Linked DNA regions of Rhinolophus ferrumequinum. The protein of the gene in region 1 interacts with the protein of each later gene in a pairwise test. Links are inferred from orthologs where the notes say so. Each region holds a gene or a part of one and is shown in the gene's direction. Other genes may lie near its edges.

Region 1 (10,677 bases):
AAAGTAACTGAGAGAACTTACAGCTATGTACATGTGTGTTTTAATGTCATGAAGTTAGAATAACAAAGAACTTCACTTCCCTCCTTCCAAAACAATTCGATGGTTTTTTTGTTTTGTTTTGTTTTTTTGCTGTTGCCTGTGATCTGATTTTGAAAGTACCCTAAGCTTTATATGTACAATCCATCAACTGCCACTATCTTAAGTTAAAATGATGGTGGCTTTGGGCTTTGGTTTTAATTTGAAAAATGTATTTCTTTCAAGGAAACAAAATGCCAAGTTGTTAATGAAATGCTTTTAATAGATTTCCAAATGCTCCTGGCCAACACCAACCAAAATTCAACTCACTCATTCTAAGACTTAAAATGTTCATTTTCTTTTCATGTAAGAAGAGCTATGTTCTAGATGATTAAGACCATAAATTCTGATACTTTATAGGTCATTGCATTACATTCAACCTTGGTCACAGTTACATTGATGAAAATTTATCTAGGTCTTACTTGTAAAATAAATAATAGTGGTTAAAAATCATTTCATTTCCTTTTGACGCATCCTATTGTACTAAATATGTTTTTTTAATGTTTTTTTTTAAATCCAAATTTCCTTTTGGTGGCCCTGATTTGTTTTCTAGTTAAGCAGCAATTATATAATTTTCATTATCAATGCCCAAAGCCATCTGTCACTAGAAGGTATCAACCACAAACCATTCAGCCTCAAGCAGCAAAAACAGCTGTGTCTCTAGAATGCTTGTGCTTTCTGAAACAGAGCATAAGTTTTCCATCAGCTTCCCAGGGTGGCAAGGTACATGAGATCCCCCCAGCACCCACCTCCAAAAAAGAAAAAATCTGAATCACAGAAGAGCGTAAACAAATTTTCGTTTTGCAGGCCCATACCAGATCTTCCAGTGAGATGATGCCTTCACTGAGATGAAACTTCCCATAATGCTTCACTGATAGATAGCTCCCTCTCAGGGGTACTTTTAACAAGGAAAGAGGTCCATGTCATACACTGCAAGGGGGGAGGAAACCTGAGGAAGGTAGAAAAGTAACTAAGTTATCCACTACATTACTGCAGAGAGCCATGCCAGGATCCTAAGGTCTCCAGCTGAGGGTTCTTAGAACTCATTCATGCACCTCCTCAGCCCCATTATCTATAGCGTGCTGTCCATTAAAAATATAATCTGCGATCCTTCCACACATGTAAATTTTATAGTAGCTACATTAAGAAGTAAAAAGAAAAAGGTAAAATTAATTTTAATAGTACATTTTATGCAATCTAATTATACAGACTATTTTTATTCTAACATTTAATCTATATAAACATTGTTGAGATACATAGACATGTGTGTATATGTATGTAGGTGTGTGTATGTGTGTGCACGTGTGTGTGTGTGTGCACTAAGTCTTTGAAATCCGTAGTATTAGGTTGGTGCAAAAGTAATTGCGGTTTAAAAGGTTGAAAATAATTGCAAAAACCGCAATTATTTTTGCACCAACCTAATATATTTTACACTTATATAACACATCTTAAGTTGGACTAACCACTTTCAAGTGCTTAATAGCCATAGTAGACAATATTGACCTACACTAAAGAACTTGTTTTTGTTTTTAATTGTAGACAGAATCTTATTTAAAATTGTACAATGTGTATACTGTTAAATAATAAACTATTGGCAGATGTTTAAATACAACGATTTTCACTTCACTCTTGACTATTAGTGATGTCGCTTCCATTACCCAGAAGCCTGTTCTGCTACAGTTTAGTGGAGGGTCAAGACAGATGATTCAGAAGTACGTCCTTTAAGAGTCCCTGTGACATACAGAGAGCCCAGTGACTTTGGGTGTGGCGAGCTGACCTCAGAGTCCATTGTGTGAGAGAGGTTTTCACTTTTGTTTTTAGTTTATTTTAGTTTTCTGGTCTCCCCAGCTTCATTTTGGAGTGCAGTCTAAGGAAAGTATATTTGTTTTGCGAGCATGCTATGATTTGCTCAGATTTTTAAATGACATATGTATGATAACACCCTCCTTATTATAGCATGGTTAAAGGTCTGTCAGTGTTTCCATTAAAAATTCAAACTTTCTGGGATTTATTACACAGCCATAACAAATTGCTCCAGACAGAAACTTGGCAAATCCTTCTTTCATGTAGGAGGAAATTCTTTTGAACAAGTTTTAAAATGATAAAAAAAAAATGTTTACTGCTTAAAATTACTCATGTGATTTTTTTTTGTGTGTGTGAGAAGGCAGGAATTCAGATAGAATACGTGTTATAGATTTACATTTTGTTTGTTTTATAAATTTGAAATATTAATATTAGCTTTTAAGTCAAATTTTACTTAAGAGTTGCCCATCCACCTCCCAAATGTTCAATGGTTTTAGTATTTGATTCTCATATTCGGAAGTCTGATTGATGTAATGATTCTTAGAGGTGATGGATGAAGCAACTATGAATCTTTACGTTTCTTCAAGGTAAAAACTAACATTTTTCAAAAGATAAGATTTGTTGTGCTATGAATTACTTGCAGACAGAGATGTCTTACTCATGTTTATATTCTCAGGGCCTAGTTATTATAGATGCACAATAAATGTTGGTAAATAATAAATACATAAAATCATAAAGGCTGTTGGTAAGTAAATAACAAATACATTAAATGCAACTTGAGAATGAAGACATAGTCTCTATTCATAAGTCTCTTATTTAAATATCCACTTATTAACACTGTCTAGTAACTTTGAAAAACCTTTTATTAAACTGTAAAGAACATGCTGTTGGATCTCTAACCTCTGATTTCTCTCTTCTCTGAACTTCTCTCTTCTCTCTCTTCAATGGATAATTGTAACAATCAAATGTCCCAGCGCTATGAAAGCACAAGTCAGTTCCACAACTGTTTTGAGGCTTGCCTTTCTTTCCCATGTCTTATCTACCTGGCAGGAGTGTTTAAAGATGGAATACCGAAGGCTATGAAAGGTATAAAATGCTACATAGATATAATTGACACATACGTCCTCACCACAGTAAACATTAAGGACAAACCCTTAAAATTACCGTGAAAGTAAACATGGTGAAAAGTGCATTCTTTCACCAAGACATTTGAGTCCAAATGAAACAAACTTACCTGACATAGTGTTGGGTTAATTGACCTCAACGTTTTAAAGAGATAAACAGGAGTTACTCTTAGAGTTGCATTATTCTATATTGTATCTTTATTTTTTCCCAATTTTACTGAGAAATAATTGATACACACCGCCCTGTAAGTTTAAGGCACACAGCACGATGGTTTGACTTACATATATTGTTAAATGATTATGTTATTTTTATTTTTGACTGGAGAAAAGCTAAGGCATGTTTTCCAAGTATGACTTTTGAAGTCTACTTTCTTTTAGGAATTCAAGCCTAAAACTCTAAATAAGTACATCTCCATTCTATTTAACTGCCAATCTGTTCACTATTTATTTGTTATAACCTGGTAAGCTGTTTGTGTTTGCTTGTTTTTGTTTTGTTTTGAACTATACAAAAGGCTACTTCCAATGAAAACAAATACTACAATTTAAAACCCCTTACGATTGGGCTGCCTGTACACTTGTTTTATTAAGTACTCTTTTGCTCCCTCTGCTGCCATGAAGAAAACCTTCACGTTCAAGACCCCAGCACTTTCCTCACAGTGTTCTCTTGGCAACGATGATGCAGATTTGTGTATACATCAGAGCTCTTCAAAAATGCAGTACTATTTGACCAAAGCATAGAATGTAATAATTACTCATTAAAAAGTGCAAATTAATAAAAGAGGGAGTAAATAAAAAAGGAATAAATAGGAGAATTAAGTTCTGCATCTGTGGCCAAATTCATATAGACAGAGCCCTGTAGTATAGAATAGAATTTTTCACACTTGAATGTGCTTAGGAATCACCCAGGGGCTGGTTACAAGGCAGATTCTGATTCAGTAGGTCTGGGGTGGAGCTCTCATTCTGAATGTCTAGAAAACTCCCAGATGCTGCTGCTGCTATTCTGAAGACTACGTTTTTCGACACAAGACATAATGATATAATATATTCTTGATAGCCCGTTTTAAACCTTCAAAAATAGATACTACCAAAAACAGTGAAATAGATATAAGGGATGAAAATGATTTTCCATCGTGTTTAAGCAATACAGAACACAAATTAGGAGTAAGGCTCAGCAGGCCTTATTTCTCAATTTCCTTTAATTTCAAAGTTTGACTTATGCTGTACAAATATAGTATCAGGTTTATGAATAGGACCACAGTACTACATATTTGCCTACTGGCTCCTTGAAAGCTCTGCTCTCCTTTCATTGAGTTTTTATTTGCATAAAGAGTCATTTTTAAAGAATTAGTACCAGTTATTTGTGATTGTACATTTACTATTTTGTCATCTGAAAATAAGACATTTCAGTGCTAAAGGTAAAGAAAGTATATCATGAGTATTATGTTTATGTTGGTTGGACCTTGCAGGAAGAAATAGTTACAGATTTTAATAGCAGTTTATGGCTTTAATCTTAATGGCTAAGAAAGTAAATGACACATTTGTTATTATTCTTACTTTTTGGGTAATATACATTTTAGCTTCCTTGAGAGAATATTTAAATTAATTGACTAACCTGAATCATGTGTTTTAATTTGATTAAGTTTGTTAAAATAACTTAAATTTAACTGTTTGTGTCAATGTAATATTAAAATATTAGCTCTTTTTTTACTGAAAATTCTCTAAATGTAAGATGTCTAAAAATAGAGTCGAGGTGGATTGGACAGTCTGCAGATTAGGAGCTGGAATAAAAACATCTCAGTTAAGCCAAAAACATGGCAACCAATATTTTCTGTTATAAAAATATTTTAGATGAGTTCAGTTTTTATGAAAGCTGTCTGAAACTGAAATGAATAGCAGAAGCTCTCTGTTTATTCACAGGCCAGTAATAATAATACCTGCAGCACAAAGCATACGTCTTTTCCTGCAGACCCAACAGCTTCTGCTCCTTTTAGAAGCCGGCTCTGCCGGGGGAAGAGATTATTACCCGGTTATGTCTGAGGTATTAACCTTCACCTTGGTAATGCTTGTCAAGGAACACAACACCAGGCAGAGCCTTTTTAGGAAACTGATTTTAACTGTCCACTAGAGGCTGTAATGAGACCAACAATGTCATTTTACACCAACCCAGTGTTTAAACTGTAACAATCACTGATTTTTAAATAAAAAAAAATAAAAAAAGAAGTTGTAGAAATGAGTAAGAGTGAACTGTAGTAGTTCTATTTAAATAACCATGTATATGTACATGGTATTTCAAAATGTGAGAAAGAAGTTATTTCCGGGGCTCTACACCTTCCTAGTTAGTATGCTTATTTTTTATTTCTGTAGCACGTTGACTCTACAATACAGTTGTTCAAAAGCTGACACATTTCTCTTGGTGATTCTGTATCCTGCTTCGGCTGGTGACTAACCGTTAGGTCATAAGTAAACTTAGCCAAAAGGTTTCTCAAATACAGCTTACAGTCAATAGTGGTGGCTTCCAGAGAGAAACTTACGTAGAGGGATCATGTTTCTAGACACTTGGTTCTAAGCACCTGAAGGAGGTCAAACGCTGCCCGGACACCTACTGGTCTTCCAGAATTACCTGCAGCCAGGGGAACGCCGCAGTGAGCTCCCTTTCGCAGGGATGTGCCTTCTCTTCCTCCAGGTGCCACACCTGTTGGCAAGGTGCACCCTTCGAAAGAAGATTCCTTCCCGTCGAGCTAACACCTGGCGGTGATACGTGCGATGTGTGTGGCGCGCGCAGGGGTCCGGGGGCGAGGGGGAGGAGCGGTGTGGTGGGGTAAGAACCGCACTTAAAAATTGAGTCCAGAGTAAATTCTTCAGCCTGGAATCACGAGAACTGCCATTTGATGCTCGGTTTGCTTTCTCTATCTCCTACACTGGTTACCTCATTTCCGATTAAATTAATGATCCCGAATTAGCTGCGAGAGGAGTGCGCAGGTCGTCTACCAAGGCTAGAGCTGGGTAGAGGGCAGGGAGGTCACCGGCTGTCCCAGGCAGTAAAGGTTAGGGGCACGTGCAGTCCGGGGGGGGGGTCCCTTAAAACTTTCCAGAGTTGCACGCAAAGGCACTCCCCGTGCCCCGGTGGTCTGGGTTCCCGAACGCCGAAGCTAAACCGGTTTGAGGATTAACGTGAATGATGATCGCAGTCAGCCCTCTTGGACGCTTTTCGGCGCGCCCGGAACCAAGGGCACGTAGCAATCAGAACTGGTTCGTCTCCCCTCCCCCTGGGGTATTTCATTGGCTCTGAGCCGGAGAATCCTCCAGGGTGCCTGAGTTGCACTCCGTTGTCGTTCTGTCCCCTCCAACTAGGTGCAGGGACCCAGGGAAGGGAGCGAGGACCCACCAGTCACCGCTACAATTACCTCATCGCCTCACTTCCCCGCCCCTTTCCCAAACCTGGAAGAACTGTCCCCTCTGACCCAAGTCTCCCTGCCCCCCTCCCCCCACCACCCACCCCCGATCCCGAGCCAGTCTTGGGGGGAAACGCTCCAGTCTCTCCGAGGGCCGCCGAGCCCGGGCCGCTCGCACCGAAGGATTAAGGGCGCGGGCCAGCCGCCCGCCGTGCGCTCGCCGGGCTCCGAGAGGCTCGCCCCGCCGCCCGCCGGAGGGTGTCCCCCCTCCTATCACCCCCCCCCCGTCGGATCCTTGAGCTGCGGCGGCGGCAGCCAACTGCTCCATATTTGGCTTCTATTACACATTTACATACTGGAGCGAGCGAGCGAGCGAGCGAGCGCGAGAGAGCGCGAGGGAGGGAGGAAGGGCGGAGGGAGGAGGGAGGGAGGGGAGGAGAGCGGGGGGAGGAGGAGGAGGAGAGAGCAGAGTATACCGCAGACATCATTTCTACTACAGTGGCGGAGCCGTACAGGACCTGTTTCACTGCAGGGGGATTCAAAACAAGCCCCGTGGAGCAGCAGCCAGAGCTACAGCAGCCGCAAGACACTGTTTCTCTCCCTCTGCCCCCCCTTCCCCACGCCACCCCAGATCCATTTACACTTTACAGTAAGTGGCGATTTTTTTTCTCCTCTGATTCTGTCTCTCCCCCTCCCCCATCCCCTTCTCCCCTGATTTAGATTAAGATGCCCCCCGTTCTCCTGAGAGGGGCCAAAGCAACAACCAGCAAACAAACCCCAAACCCCAATCGGCGGCACCGAAAACAGCTGGAAGAGGAGCGAAGGAAACCGACGCGGCGTGTTGTGGTGGTGGTGGGGTGTGTGTGTGTGTGTGTGTGTGTGTACACACAACCTTCCTCGGCTCCAGCCTCCCGAAGCGACACCCTGCTCAGGGTGCACGGACCGCCAGCAGGGGGGCTGTTGGGGGCCGGGTGGGCGCCCGCCGGGTGAGGGGGCGCGCCCGGGCTGGGGGCGCGGGCCGGGAGAGTGGCGGTGGCGGCGCCTCGCTCGGGCGGCTGCTAGTCCCGCTCGCGAGTGTGGAGAGCTGTGTCCTTATCCCTGGAGGTGGCATAAGGGAGGCGACAGCGGCCAGGGGTCGCGCTGCCCACTCCTGTCGCCGCCCCCTCTTCACCCTTCTACCCAAAGAGGGCGGCGAGAGCAAGCGGGTCTGGACGAGGCTGGGCTGTCCCGCCGGTGGCCGCCTGGCCTCGGAGTCCCACGGCCGGGGTCTACCCACCGAGGCCGGCCTTTCCCGGCGTGCGGCTGCGGAGCCAGGACTCTGCGCGCGGCCCGGCGCAGGCTGTGGGAGCGCGGGGGGCGCGGAGGGGTGGGCGCTGGGTCGCGGGCGTGCGGGTGCCGGGAGCGCGGCCGGAGTGGTGGCGGCGGCCCTGGCTCCGCTACCACCGCCGCCCTGTTGGTACGGCCGCTTCCTGATCCTGTGGCCGCCGCCGGGAGCCGGGAGCCCGCGAGCGCCCCAGCCCGGTCCGGCACCCCCGCCCGCACCCGCGGCGGGAGGAAAGGAGCGGCAGCAGGCGCTGCCCTGTGGGCGCCAGGAGTGAACCGCCGCGCGACTGCTGGGAGGGTGAATGAAGCCAGGAGCAGGGGAAGGAGGAGGCGCTGCGGCTATTGGGATGCGCCCCGGAGCTCCGCTGCTCGTTCACTCCTGGCCGGGCCGGAGACGCTGCCACTCCCGCGGCCGCCGCCGCCGCCTCCTACGTGGTCCCAGCGCAGCGCGCAGGCCAGCCCCGCAGGGGGCAGGGAAGGGGCCGGACGGGCGGAGCGAGAGGTGAGGCGGTGGCGGAGCGCGGCGGGAGTGTGAGTGAGTGAGCGTGCGTCTGTGTGCGCGCGCGGGGCGGGGGCGGGGGGGTCGTCCACAGGGGCCGTCGCGATGGGGAGAGGGCCCGCTGAGGCCACTTGGCTGACTGCAGCGCCTGACCCCTCCTCAGCCCCCCGCCCGCAGGCCGCCTTCCCAAACTCCATGGCTTGTGCTTTCATTTTATTTCAGACCACGTAGGGGGCTGACTGGAAGCAATGAAACAATCCAGGTTTTCTAGGGAGATTAGCAAGAACCTTGGTGGGGGTGGGGGGGGTGGAAGTAGGGTGGTGGTGGAGCTCCTGCCAGAAAACAAAAAAATCCCTTCCTAAGGACTGTGAGGTTCGGTTTAGTCCCGTGGAGGCTCTGTTTTGTTTTGCTTTCTTAGTATATAATCCTACAGATAAGAGGGTAATATAAATACTTCGGAAGATTGGGAATTGCTGAAGAGTGAGTAGTAAGGGCGGAAAAAAAAAAAGCCAGTCGGAAGCTGGTTATATAATGCGCGATGTGGCTAACGAGAACGGCAAGCTATTTTTATTTTGTTAACCGTATGCTGTGCAGTAGGGACTCCTCCAAACTGGTTCTGTACCCGAAGAGATTCTTAGCTTCCCTGTGAGATCCACAGGATACAATGAGCCAAATTAGAAGACCCCATTTACACCCACAGCCTTGGAGTGGCATACTCCCTGCACATTCTGTCGTGCATGCACGGGAATGCGTGTATGCAAATAAGTTCTCCTTTGGCAATCTAGTAGTCACAGCTCGATGACATTTGTGTTTTATAATGCAGGCTGTTCTTAATATTTAAACATCATCCTTACATATCGCACACAGCAGTTACTTGATGGTTATTTTTAGGCTCAGCTAGTTACTTTTCAACATTATTAGCTAAGCCAGTTCTGTTTGGGTTTCTGAGGAGCCCTGGAGTTCCTAGAAGCCCCTGTTAAGCCCACCTTGTGGTTTATTTGGTGGGTGAAGATTGTTTGATTGTTGAGCTTTTGTTTGAAACGAAGCTTATGCCTAGGGAAACCACCAGAGAGGAGGACAAGAAAATCCTGCATATAAACTCTTGGAGAGGGATTGCACCATAACTGCTAAGGCTGTGGCATTTAATCTCCTCTGGCTGCCCTCTAACTGTACATGCATCAGTCAGTATTTTAGCAGCTCCACAGACAAATGGGCTGCTACTTAAAGCAGAGGTTGAAGTCTCCCCTGAACCTCCTGCCTCCCTGTCTTTCTCCTCTTCTAGGTACGGTCAGTGGTGTAGGTTTTCAGTGCACTTACTCCAGCCCCGATCACTCATGTAATTAGATCAGGCTGCCATGGCAACAGACACTGTTCCTTGTCCATTCAGGTGGGTTTGTTTTGTGCTTGGACTACTCCAAGTGTTTTATGCACAGTATTTGTGCTGCCCAAGCCAGACGAGAGACTTCACTATTTCAATTGCGTCTTCTTTCAGTCATTTGGACGGGAGACACTGAATGAGGCTTCTCGCTACTCTTATAAAGGAGACCAACAAGCTGTTCTTACTGGGTGCAGTATGTAAATGTCTCTCCCCAGACAGTGAAAGGAGCCTGACAATCCTGCTGGTGTTTATTGTGAACAGATCAACAAGTATTTGGTACTTGTTAGAAACCTTTCAGAGCTGACTAAAGCAACATTTCTTTTGCCTTCTGGTACCATTGGCCTTGCAGGCACTTAACCCTTTCAAGTGTGAAAGTGCTCATCCTTTAGAACCTAAGTTGCCAGTTAGTCATGACTGGTTTTCGAAAGGGTTTATTCTGCAGAAGGAATTTATTTGGGAAGGATATCACCATTGTCATGTTTTAAAACTTTACAGCCATCATAATAGAAAAATCTAGGACTGACTGTCAGGAGACAGATATTCTGAGTGTATTCATTCTTCATTTGGATCTTTTGGCCATGATCTTTACATCTGTGGTAGTAAGTTCAAAGGTTTTTGTCTCAGGAAAGAGGACATAGGCCTGTAGCTGTTAAGACTGATAATGTGTGGTGCTTTTGCATAATAAACAACTTGTACTCTATTTTGGGATATAATTTAATGAGCATTTAATAATTTAGAGAATAGCAGTCTACTCTTTGCATTAGGGCACCACCTTATTAAGCCTGTTAAACAAAGAAAAATAATGCTGTTGCAATAAATAAATAAAAGAAGGAAAGAAAGAAAAGGAAAAAAAAGTAGCTTGGTTGTGGAAACTCTCTGTTCCTCAGGCAATCCAAATAGAGGGAAGTATTTTAGTAACCCTGATATTTGAAAGTAAAAATAATTGAGAATAATCATGTCTTGATTTAGTTGTGAACCTGCCAGTTTTGGTTTACAGTTTTATAGCCCCATAGCTAAATTGGGAAATCCTTTTTTCCCCTAAGGCTAGGATTGAGAGAGCTACTTATTCCTGGGTGGGGGTGC
Region 2 (10,564 bases), on another chromosome or scaffold:
TCACTGTTTTCCTTTAGCATTCTAGCACCAGCCAGGTCAATAGAAACAATATTAACAAAAAACAACACATACTTACTATGTGCCAGAAACTACTCTATGTGTTTTACATATATGAAGCCATTCAATGCTCCTGTGACACAGGTATTTCATTATCTCTACTTTACAGATAAGGAGACTAAGGCACAGATGGCGAACTAATCTACCCAAGGTCAACCGAGGAGGAGTATGTGGCAGAACTGAGAATCAAACCTCGGGAGCCTAGAGCCTATTCTCTTAGCCATTAACCAGTACGTCTCTTAGTAGAAGCTCGATAAGTATTTCCTGACCAAATAACAAATGAGACAGAATAAGTGAAAGAGGAACAGATTTTGGGGACATATTGAATTTGAAATACTGGGGAAAGGCTATGAGGTATAGTGGGATAAATAGTTTACCAACTAGAGATAAGCATTCAGAAGTTATCGGCTGCTACAGAAAGCCACCTATGAAATGGAAGTCTTGTACAGAAAGTGATTATACAATTTAAAAAATCAGATGTGCTATTAAACTGTAACCATTTAGATCCAGTTCTGTAATAAAAACGTTTTACAGAACACAGAATGCCCCATTGAGCCTTGACTATACCAACATGAAAAATTTTGTATTGTTAATATAAATTGAAATACTTTCCTTTCTTTTGGTATTCAGTATCTATATAAATGTCAAACTTGTATTTTGTTAAAACATAAAAGTACAGAGATTTATTTTTAATTTGACAAAATGACACCAAAATCCATCTAATAATACAAAAGAATGTATGAATGACAAGAAAATGTCTAAAAAAGAGTGGAAGCACACTTTACCTACTAGATATCAAAACATAAAGTTACAGAAATTAAGATAATGGGTATGGTATACGTTAAAGAAAAGACAGAACAATAAAAGATAACAGAGTCCAAACAAAACAACGTATACATAAATTGTAAATTAAATGTAAAAACACATAAAAATTTATATATACATGTTATTTTTATAATCTAATTTCTAAGCATCACAAATGCTTTTCTAAGCATCACAAATAAACTAGAAACTATAAAAAGATTCCAACACTAAAATAATTTAAGCTATGTCATGGAAAAACATCATTAAAAAGCAAAATGGGAGTACAGACTTTCAAACTACGTGACAAAGAGTTAAAAAACCTAAGAAGTAATTCCTTTAAAAGTATTAAGAGACTATGATAGGTAGCAACAGGCTACTCAAAAGAAATTAAACAATAGGTGACATGGATATAAAAGACGCTTAACATCAACAGAATTTAACTACAAATTAAGTTAACGAGGGATCACTTTCTATCAGATTGAATAGAATAAAAGATGGGAAATGGGTGCTCTCAAACACTGTAAGTAGGAAAGAAAATGGGCACAACCTTTCTAAAGAGCAATTTAGGAATCACAGAGTATTTGTGACTAAATAATCCTATTTCTAAAAAGTTAGATTTAAGGGATAATCAGACAAGCATACAAATATGGAGCTCACAGCACTATTGCTCTTAAAAGTTACTAATTGATCCAGCAACCCAAATGTGGGTATATATCCGAAAGAACTGAAAACAGGATCTTGAATAGATGTTTACACACCCAGCTCACTGCAGCATTATTCACAACAGCCAAAAGGAGGAAGTAATCTAAACGTCCATTGACAGATGAATGGATAAATAAAATGGAACACTTATACATATACATACAATGGAATATTATTCAGCATTAAAAAAAGAAGGAAATTCTGTCATATGCTCCAACATGGATGAACCTTGAGGACATGCTGCTAACTGAAATAAGCCCCTCACAAAAGGACAAATAATACTGCATGATTCTACTTACATGAGGCATCTAAAATAGTCAAACTCTTAGAAATAGAAAGTAGAATGGTGATTGCCAGGAGCTGCGGGAGGGTAAAAGGGGAGTTGTTGTTCAATATGTACAGTTTCAGTTTTGCAAGATGAAAAAGTTCCAGAAATCTGTTGCACGACAAAGTGCATATACTTAACACAACTGTAGTACCAGGGGTGACAATTAAGTTCGCGAACTTGTTGAGACAATGTTGCTAACCTTTTTTGATATCAGAGGGGTTATTTATTATGAATTTGTACCAACTGGACAAACAGTTAACCAAGTTTACTATTTGGACGTGCTGAAAAGGCTGCGTGAAAAAGTTAGACGACCTGAACTTTTCGCCAACAATTCACAGCTCTTGCATCATGACAATACACCAGCTCACACAGCGCTGTCTGTGAGGGAGTTTTTAGCCAGTAAACAAATAACTACTGGAACATCCTCCCTACTCACCTGATCTGGCCCCCAATGACATCTTTCTTTACCTGAAGAGGAAGGAAATAATGAAAGGAAGACATTCTGATGACATTCAGGACATCAAAGGTAATACGACAACAGCTCTGATGGCCATTCCAGAAAAGAGTTCCAAAATTGCTTTGAAGGGTGGACTAGGTGCTAGCATCTGTGCATAGCTTCCCAAGGGGAGTACGTCAAAGGTGACCGTAGTGATGATATTCAGCAATGAGGTACCTAGCACTTTTTCTAGGATGAGTTCGCAAACTTAATTATCTGACCTCGTATTCACTTAAAAACGGTTAAGACAGCAAATTTAGGAACTGAATGTTAGAGGCATACAATGAAATACCAGATAGCCATAAAAAATGATAACAGATATTTACTCAGTCATATCCACAGCCTATTGTTGAGTTTAAAAGGTTTACAAAAGAGCAAAGTAGTATGATACCATTGATACATGTCTGTACCTTTAAGAGAGAGACACTGTAAGGATATTCACTAAAATTTAATACTGTGTTTCCTCAAAAATAAGACCTAGCTGGACAATCAGCTCTAATGCGTTTTTTGGAGCAAAAATTAATGAGACCCGGTCTTATTTTACTATAAGACCCAGAATAATATAATATAATACTGGGTCTTATATTAATTTTTGCTCCAAAAGACGCATTAGAGCTGATTGTCCGGCTAGGTCTTAGTTTCAGGGAAATACGGTAGTGGTATCTCTGGGTAATAGGATGACAGATGACATTTATTTTCATTTTTTATATTTTCCTGTTTTCAAATACAAAGAATAGGTATTATATCTATGGCAAAGGATAGCTCAAAAAAGGAAGTGACTGCCACCTTTGGTTCCAGAATACTGGGATGAAATTTTACATTTCTCTTTCACTCTATGTCTGGCATATCTTGGGAGATTAATAAATAGTTGAAAAGCAGGAATGGAATGAGACATATTTGGATATGAATCTCAGCTCCAAAATTTACTGATCGAGGCCTTAAAGTCTTACTGAACTTCATTGAGCCCCACTTTCTTTAACCATAAAATATCAAGAAACAATACTTGCAGAACATTACAGAAAATATGTACTTAAAGCACTAACACATCATTTCTGGCTCAGACGAAACACTCAATAAAATGATGGCCATCATTACTATTTATTGATTTACACTAGAAGAAGCTCACAACAACAAAAAACTAAGTATCTACAGAAGACTATACCGCTAAATTATACAGAAAACTTCAATTGAATTAAAGAACAAGAGACAACTCTTTGTTTGGCGGACACACAACACTGTTGGCTGAAAGGTACGGTTACATTCCCATATGTAACCGGACTAGAATATAAAATGTATCATCTAGTTGGTGCAAAAACACCACTCATGAGTATTGGACAGACTTATCAGTGCTTCAGTAAAAAAAATAATGTTGATGAAAAGGGAAAATACACTCTTTCTAATTCACAGGTAGAATGGAAAGAGGTGATGGAATAAACACACAAAACATGACTAATGACTTAATTTAGAGACAGATTAAAAGAACGAGTAATGTTGCCATTAATTTTTGTTTGGCCTGTCTTCCTCATTGATATTGGACAAGGAGCCTGTCTTTTTAGCACTGCTGTATCCCCAAAGTCTGGTATAGTGCCCAATGTAGTGTGAGTGCTCAATAAACATTTACAAGATGATTTATAAAAGTCTCAGTGACACCATAGGAAAAACTGAAATAGAATTTATCTGAAAAAGTCTCAGTCAAATGATGGGAAAAAGTTTAAGAATGAAAGCCATTAGGCTTGAGGGAGAAAGACCTTTTCTGATAACTCCTCCTGCGTCTCCTTTATTCAATGAGTTTCCCAAGGCACCTCAAAGGGAACGTCCAACAGCAAAGATACACTCAACTTTGCATCCGACGGGGGCATGAACCCGGGCCTACTGGGCTAAACGTATTTGACTATGGGCTCCTAAGTATTTCAATGAGATCTTTATTCATCGGTGTATTATAGCTGGCACCTGTCGTCGACTGGGAAAGGCACCATTCTTGATTATTAAACCTGAGCCCTTCTGTAGCTTTTCTCTTAGGAACCAGCCTTTATAAGTCTGTAAAAGTGGGAGGAATTAGCTCAGAACTTGAGAGCCCGTTGTATACAGTCAGTGACGACATGAAGCCATGCTTCACGCACCGACAGGGGTAAAGGTATTAGAGGCACCCTCTACAAATACGTGGGTGCAATCTAATAGTGAGCAAGTCAAAACACAAGAAAAAAATTAGACTCTGGGATTGAAGACTTGGGGTGGAGAACGGCATTATGGACTTGGGAACCACCCCATCCCATTTCACTCTTTCCTAAAATGCAATTACATTCCGTTCAACTACCTATCTCTCACGCAAGAAAATACAGACTTGCCCCCCACGCCACTCCCAGACGGCCACACCTGGTGTATTCGCTGAAGAATCTCCAACTCCCGCCACAGGTTTGGCTGGTGTCCGCCCCAAAGCGGAAGTGACTTAAGAGACACACACCGAAAGTAAGAGTTCAAATACCAGGATTACAAAACCCTTACGTTCTGAGAAAACTCTTCTCTGATCACCTTCCTCTTCTATCCTTATCTCTTCTGTTAGGGTGGCGAAAAGAATTCACCACAGCCTCGTAACAACTAGTTCTCCACCCTGAACTCCAAATCATTCAAAAGTTTGTCCCTTTTCATTGGCCAGCGGGGCAGCATGGGTACCTCTGAGGAACTACAATTACCGTCAGGAACCGCAGGGAGTAAACGGAGGAAAGGATATGGACAGGGGCAAAGCACGCTGGGAAATGTAGTCCGCCCCCGTCCAAAGAGGGCAATCACCCCGCCTTCCACCCCACTGAGGCTGGAGAAACCAGGTGTTGGGCTTAGAACCCGTTACCGCTAAGGGGAGGAGCCACGTTTTTAAACAGCATTCCTGACTTCCCAGCACATGAAGGATGAAAATTTTCTTTTATTCCTACAAAGCATTACAAATATTCCTTGAAGAAATATGGTTGTCTTTCTAATATCTCCAATTCAGTAAAAACTCCCAGAACTCCCCTACCTTAGGCTCCAACTCGTGGGAAAAGGTGGCTCTTTTACAAGTGGGCAAAATGGCTGTCCTCTTAGTTTTCCCATTGGTTGCCCTTTGCGTCCTTCAAGGGCGGTTACTAACCACCGATTGGTTCTTTTTCCCTTGAGGGTGGAGGAAGACTTGGCATGGCTCTCCCGCGGCCCGAGAGGAGATAAAGGGGTGGAGAGAAGGCAGTATGTCCAGGTGTGATTGGATGATCCTCATGTCACTCCGAGAACGTACAGCCTATGATTTGTCGACTGCCCCTCAAAGAGAACGAAAAGGTGGGGCTAGTGCGTGGTGGGAAGGGGCGGGATTCTGCCAGCCCCGGCCGCCGCTGGAGCCGGTGTCCGGGCTGGTGATGGGGTTAATTCCCTTTCGTAAGACTCGTACTTGCACCCACCCAGCCCCGCCGTCGCCCCGCTGCGCCGCACTCCAGCCGCCTCCTCCTCCTCCTCAGTAACGCGGGTAAGAGATGCCCTCCCCTCCCCCTCTCCAGCTCCCCGGGAATAACGCGCCTCGCTCCCCTCCCCCGCCCTCCAACCGGTAGCGCTAACGGAGAAGGAGGCAGGCAGGGGAGAGATGTGGTGTGTGAGAAGGTGGCCTTCTCCTCCGAGCCGTCGGCGCTCCAGCCAGGGCCCCGCCGAGGTTCTCCTGCTACTGCCAGCCCGTGGGGAGGTCGGGTTCCGAGGGAGTCCGGCTCTCCTGGCCCGTCGCTGCGGCTGCAGCTGCATCCCCTACCTTGTGCCCACCGCCCCCACACGGGGGCCATGTGAAAAGCAAACCCCTGGAGGCCTAGCGGAGGAGGCAGGGGAAAGGTTCCCGAGTCCCTGCCATGGCTGCTGCTGCCCTTGCAGCCCCAGGGACTCGGGAACCAGCCACAGCAGGCCTGCCAGGGACGGGTGCGGTGCGTGGTTGTGCTCTCTAGGGTGGCTGGCGCCGCTGCCTCGAACTCCCCGGCCACCCCACGACCGTGGTCCCCGGCCTTGCACCGGGAGAATTTTTAGAAAGGAAATAAGGCGTTCCGTCGGTTGGTGAAATGTAGGTACATCTTGCCTGTGTACCAGAAAAACACAATGGGAAATTTTAAAAGAAAGTTGAATGACTGTCAGTGCCACGGACTCCGGGAATCAGATTTACACACTTTATGGTTGAGTCTTAGGCTGCCCTCCAAAGCCCTTGTGTATTTGAAGTTTCTTGTCGTTGTTCTCTTTTTTGTTGTTGCAAGGTGCAGAGGAGAGTGCATCTGTTGTTTGAGCTAGCTTTTTTTATGTAGAAACTTCCATTTTTGAGGGTAGCATGCCCCGCGTATAATTGTCCTGGGACAGCAAGTCAACTAAGTAAAAGGTGAAATGCTTTCTAAAACAGTAAGGCTTAGTAAATAGCAGATGATTATTCTAATAAGATTTTCCAGGAAAAAAAAATGTGTATATGTATCTCCCAGATTACAGTTTGCCTGATTATAATTCTGAAGAAAGCCTTTGTTTTTAGCTTAAATGTCATTGATTACAAGAACTTTCAAGTAATGAAAAGATGATAAAAGTCAACTGAAAGCCCACCTTTTTATATTTGAAACAGTAAGGTCTATCTATGTAATATTTAATATGGTAGGATACCAGTATGACTAGAGTAACTGGACACACCTTAACAAAATTTGGCCATATTTAAAAGCAAATGCTTATTCCTCACATACTGAGCCCTCATTTTTTCACTCCTTGCTGTTTTGGCGAGGTGACTATGTCCTTAAATAATAGATTCTGTAATTTATAGTAGACATGCCTGTAATCAGATAAAATTCTAGGCCCACTTCTGAGGCTTGTTACCAGAATCAGAACTTGTGTTCTGAAGAAGTCATTGGGTTTTGCCGAATGTTAGACCCTTTCTTCAGGGTCTGATGAGACTATACTGGCTTAATGATCTTCCATATTCCATAAATAACACACCTAGATACAGAATTGGCATAGATCCATCGATTCAGGACCTGGAAGAAACTTGGTGTGTTGTAATTCTTAAAATGGAATGCATAACCCTGAAAGGTAAGGCCCCTCAGCTCCCCACAGAGTATCCATAGCATATATCACTCAGCATAGCATTTTCTAAAACTTGTTGGTTAATTGATAAATTATATAATTGATGCTGTCAGATCTCATGTGCTTTATATACAGAAAGCGCTGCTAGAAATATAGGAGGTTCCTACGTTCTCTTGTTAGCTGTAGGACCCCACTATGAGTTTCAGTTCAGTTTCCTCATCTGTAAAATGGGGATGATAACGCTTAACTCATGGAGTTGTGAAGCTTAGAGATGAAGTATGTAAAGCCCCTAGCATTGTGCCTAACACAGTATGTATGATTAAATATTAACTATGCATGTTAAGATTATATATATTATGATTAAATATTTCATGCATATTAAGAGAGTAAGTTTTTTATTCACATGCACAGGTGTTGCAACCTCAGCACATGTTCCATTAGTGAGGAGTACTGTGGGGGTTTTTATTTACTTGTATATAGTGACAAAGTAAGTGCAGTTTGCAGCTAGCCATTTTTAGAGTGAAAGTTATATGGGAAATTGGTAACTGGGTATATACAAGTTGCTTATTTTATAGAAGACTTTTTTTGTTTTTGGCATTAAAATGCAAGTGTTTGTGGAATATATTTCAAATGGATTACTTGGAATAAAAGTGGCAAATTATTGTAGTGATAAGTTATTGTAATATCTTTTAAATTTAATATGTTTCAAGATCTAGTTTATATAATTACTACCCATGTTCATTGTGCTACCAGGCTACCAGCAAGCAACAGCTGAATTCCTTTAATACAGCGTTAAGATTAAGAAAGTAATTTGAATTCGTTATGGCCATAGGCTGACTACAGTTTTGTTGGTTTTTAATTTTCATTATTTATCAATACTTGTGTGTTTCTTTTCTGTGAGTCAACATGCCAGACACATTGTTCTTTTCTCCTCCTAGGCACTTGTGAAAGTGTACTGTGTCTTCACACGTAATAGTGTCCTTGGAGTGTGTGCAGTTAGGCCAATTTAAAGTTAGCATGAAAACAGTTCTATTATGAAGTCTTCTGACAGTAATGCCTGGCCAGGGTTCAAGGCAGCTGCACCTTATGCTAAATAGTGAGCTGAGGTACATAATGTTATGGCAGACTTCCCAACTTACTAAACCCAGTACAATTGGATGCTCCTTCAAGGAGCCTTACATGGCAGCAGCAGTAGAAAATGTTATAAAATTGAAATAAGCTTTTTCAAATACTATGCAGAACATACGCATTGCCATGCCTTCTTGCCAAGTAATAAAAGCGATTTTCTTGTCGTGGTACTTTAAAATATCTAATTATACCCATTTGAGTTCATGTTAAATTTTATTTCCTCAAGCTGAGGGTTGATAACACCTATTTTTTCCATTCTTGAAAACGTTACAGTAATAAACACTTTTTTAAAATATTTTTTATTTTTCAATTGACAGTTGACATTCAATATTATATTACTTTCAGGTGTACAGCATAGTGGTTAGACATTTATATAATTTACAAAGTGATCCCCCTGGTACAACTAGTCCCACCTGCCACCATACGTAGTTATTACAATATTATTGGCTATATTCTTTGTGCTGTCCCTGTGACTATTTTATAACTATCACTTATCACTTTGTACTTCTTAACCCCTTCACCTTTTTCACCCAGCCCCCCCCCCCCCCACATCCCGCCCATCTGGCAGGGATCAGTTTGTTCTCTGTATCTATGACTCTGTTTCTGTTTTGTTCATTTATTTTGTTCTTTAGTGAACATGTAAGTGAAATCATACGGTATTTCTCTTTCTCTTCTGACTTATTTCACTTAGCATAATATCCCCTAGATCTATCCATGTTGTCACAAATGGTAAGATTTCATTCTTTTTTATAGTTGAATAATATTCCATTGTATATAGGTACCACATATTCTTTATCCAGTCATCTATTCGATGGGCACTTAGGTTGCCAATATCTTGGCTATTGTAAATAATACTACGAAGAACATAGGGATGCATATATCTTTTCGAAGTAGTCTTTTGAATTTCTTCAGATAAATACTCAGAAGTGGAATTGCTGGTTCATGAGGTAGTTCTATTTTTAATCTTTTGAGGAACTTCCATGTTGTTTTCCAGAGTGGCTGCACCAGTTTGCAATCCCACCAGCAGTGCATGAGGACTCCCCTTTTCTTTGCATCCTCACCACTTGTTTGTTGATTTATTGATAATAGCCACAATAATAAACACTTAAGACTTGCTGGGTTTGTAATATATTATTGCTATTTTAATTAGAAAATTTCACTGTTAACACTTTCACGATCTATTGTAAATAATGTTGGCATCTGTGTGTTAAAAGAGGTTACAAATGGCAGTGAACTTTTCAAATAGTTCTTGCTGTTCCAAACCACAGAATCAAAACTTCATAGTGACACCTGCATACAGTGATGATAATTTATTATTTATAACTTAATTAAGGTAGTTATTGTAAAGAAAAGGGAGTATGTCTTTTTTTCTCAGTATAATAGTAATCTTTTTCTAAAACAGTAAAATATCTTCCACTTAATCCCTATGAATTCTGATGTTTAGTAATAAACAGACATATGCAAAAAATCAAATCATATAATCAAAATTTTATTAAGTTAACTTTGCTTCCCCAATAAGGATGCATTATGTAACTAAACAAATTTGCTTGTACCTGATAAGATGTGAGCATGTGTATCTTTTCCAGAATTTAATTCAATTAGTCATTAACTAATGGTTGAAATCAGAGATGAGTTAGTTAATCCTGGCTGAAAGCTAGTTCTCTACCTTATTTTCCAGCCATTTGTTTTTTCCTTAATTCCCAGATTTTATCCTTTAACATTTTGTGTCTTCTTACCTCCTTAGTCTCCACACATGCCTGTTAATTTAATTTTTTTTCCTGCAAGTTTAAAAAGCCTACAGTTTATGATCTGTGTTGTTCTCTTTTCCTTCTGAATTGTAGATTTGTAACTTATTTCTTAATTTCTACCTGTAAACTCACTTCTTTAGGCAAATTGTGAGATTTTTGAGTCTATTTCATGAATATTAGACCACATAGCATGTTTAAATGATTGTTCTTACAACCTACTTGACTAATGTTTTCATCTACAACTCCCTAAGA

The links. The genes of interacting proteins can lie anywhere in the genome.
Region 2: the proteins of ATXN1 (region 1) and R3HDM1 interact in binary tests that used the Homo sapiens proteins (3 or more experiments, as listed by UniProt). The link is inferred for Rhinolophus ferrumequinum from reciprocal best matches to the Homo sapiens genes ATXN1 and R3HDM1.

What each region holds. Positions count from the first base shown.
Region 1 is NC_046292.1:78,026,584-78,037,260, forward strand, and holds the start of ATXN1 (ataxin-1), read left to right. Parts: upstream 1-6,845; 5' UTR 6,846-7,043; intron 7,044-8,009; exon of another isoform or gene 8,010-8,219; intron 8,220-8,239; exon of another isoform or gene 8,240-8,252; intron 8,253-10,677. UniProt on the Homo sapiens protein: Chromatin-binding factor that repress Notch signaling in the absence of Notch intracellular domain by acting as a CBF1 corepressor. Binds to the HEY promoter and might assist, along with NCOR2, RBPJ-mediated repression. Binds RNA in vitro.
Region 2 is NC_046291.1:82,810,123-82,820,686, reverse strand, and holds the start of R3HDM1 (R3H domain-containing protein 1), read left to right. Parts: upstream 1-5,708; 5' UTR 5,709-5,874; intron 5,875-10,564.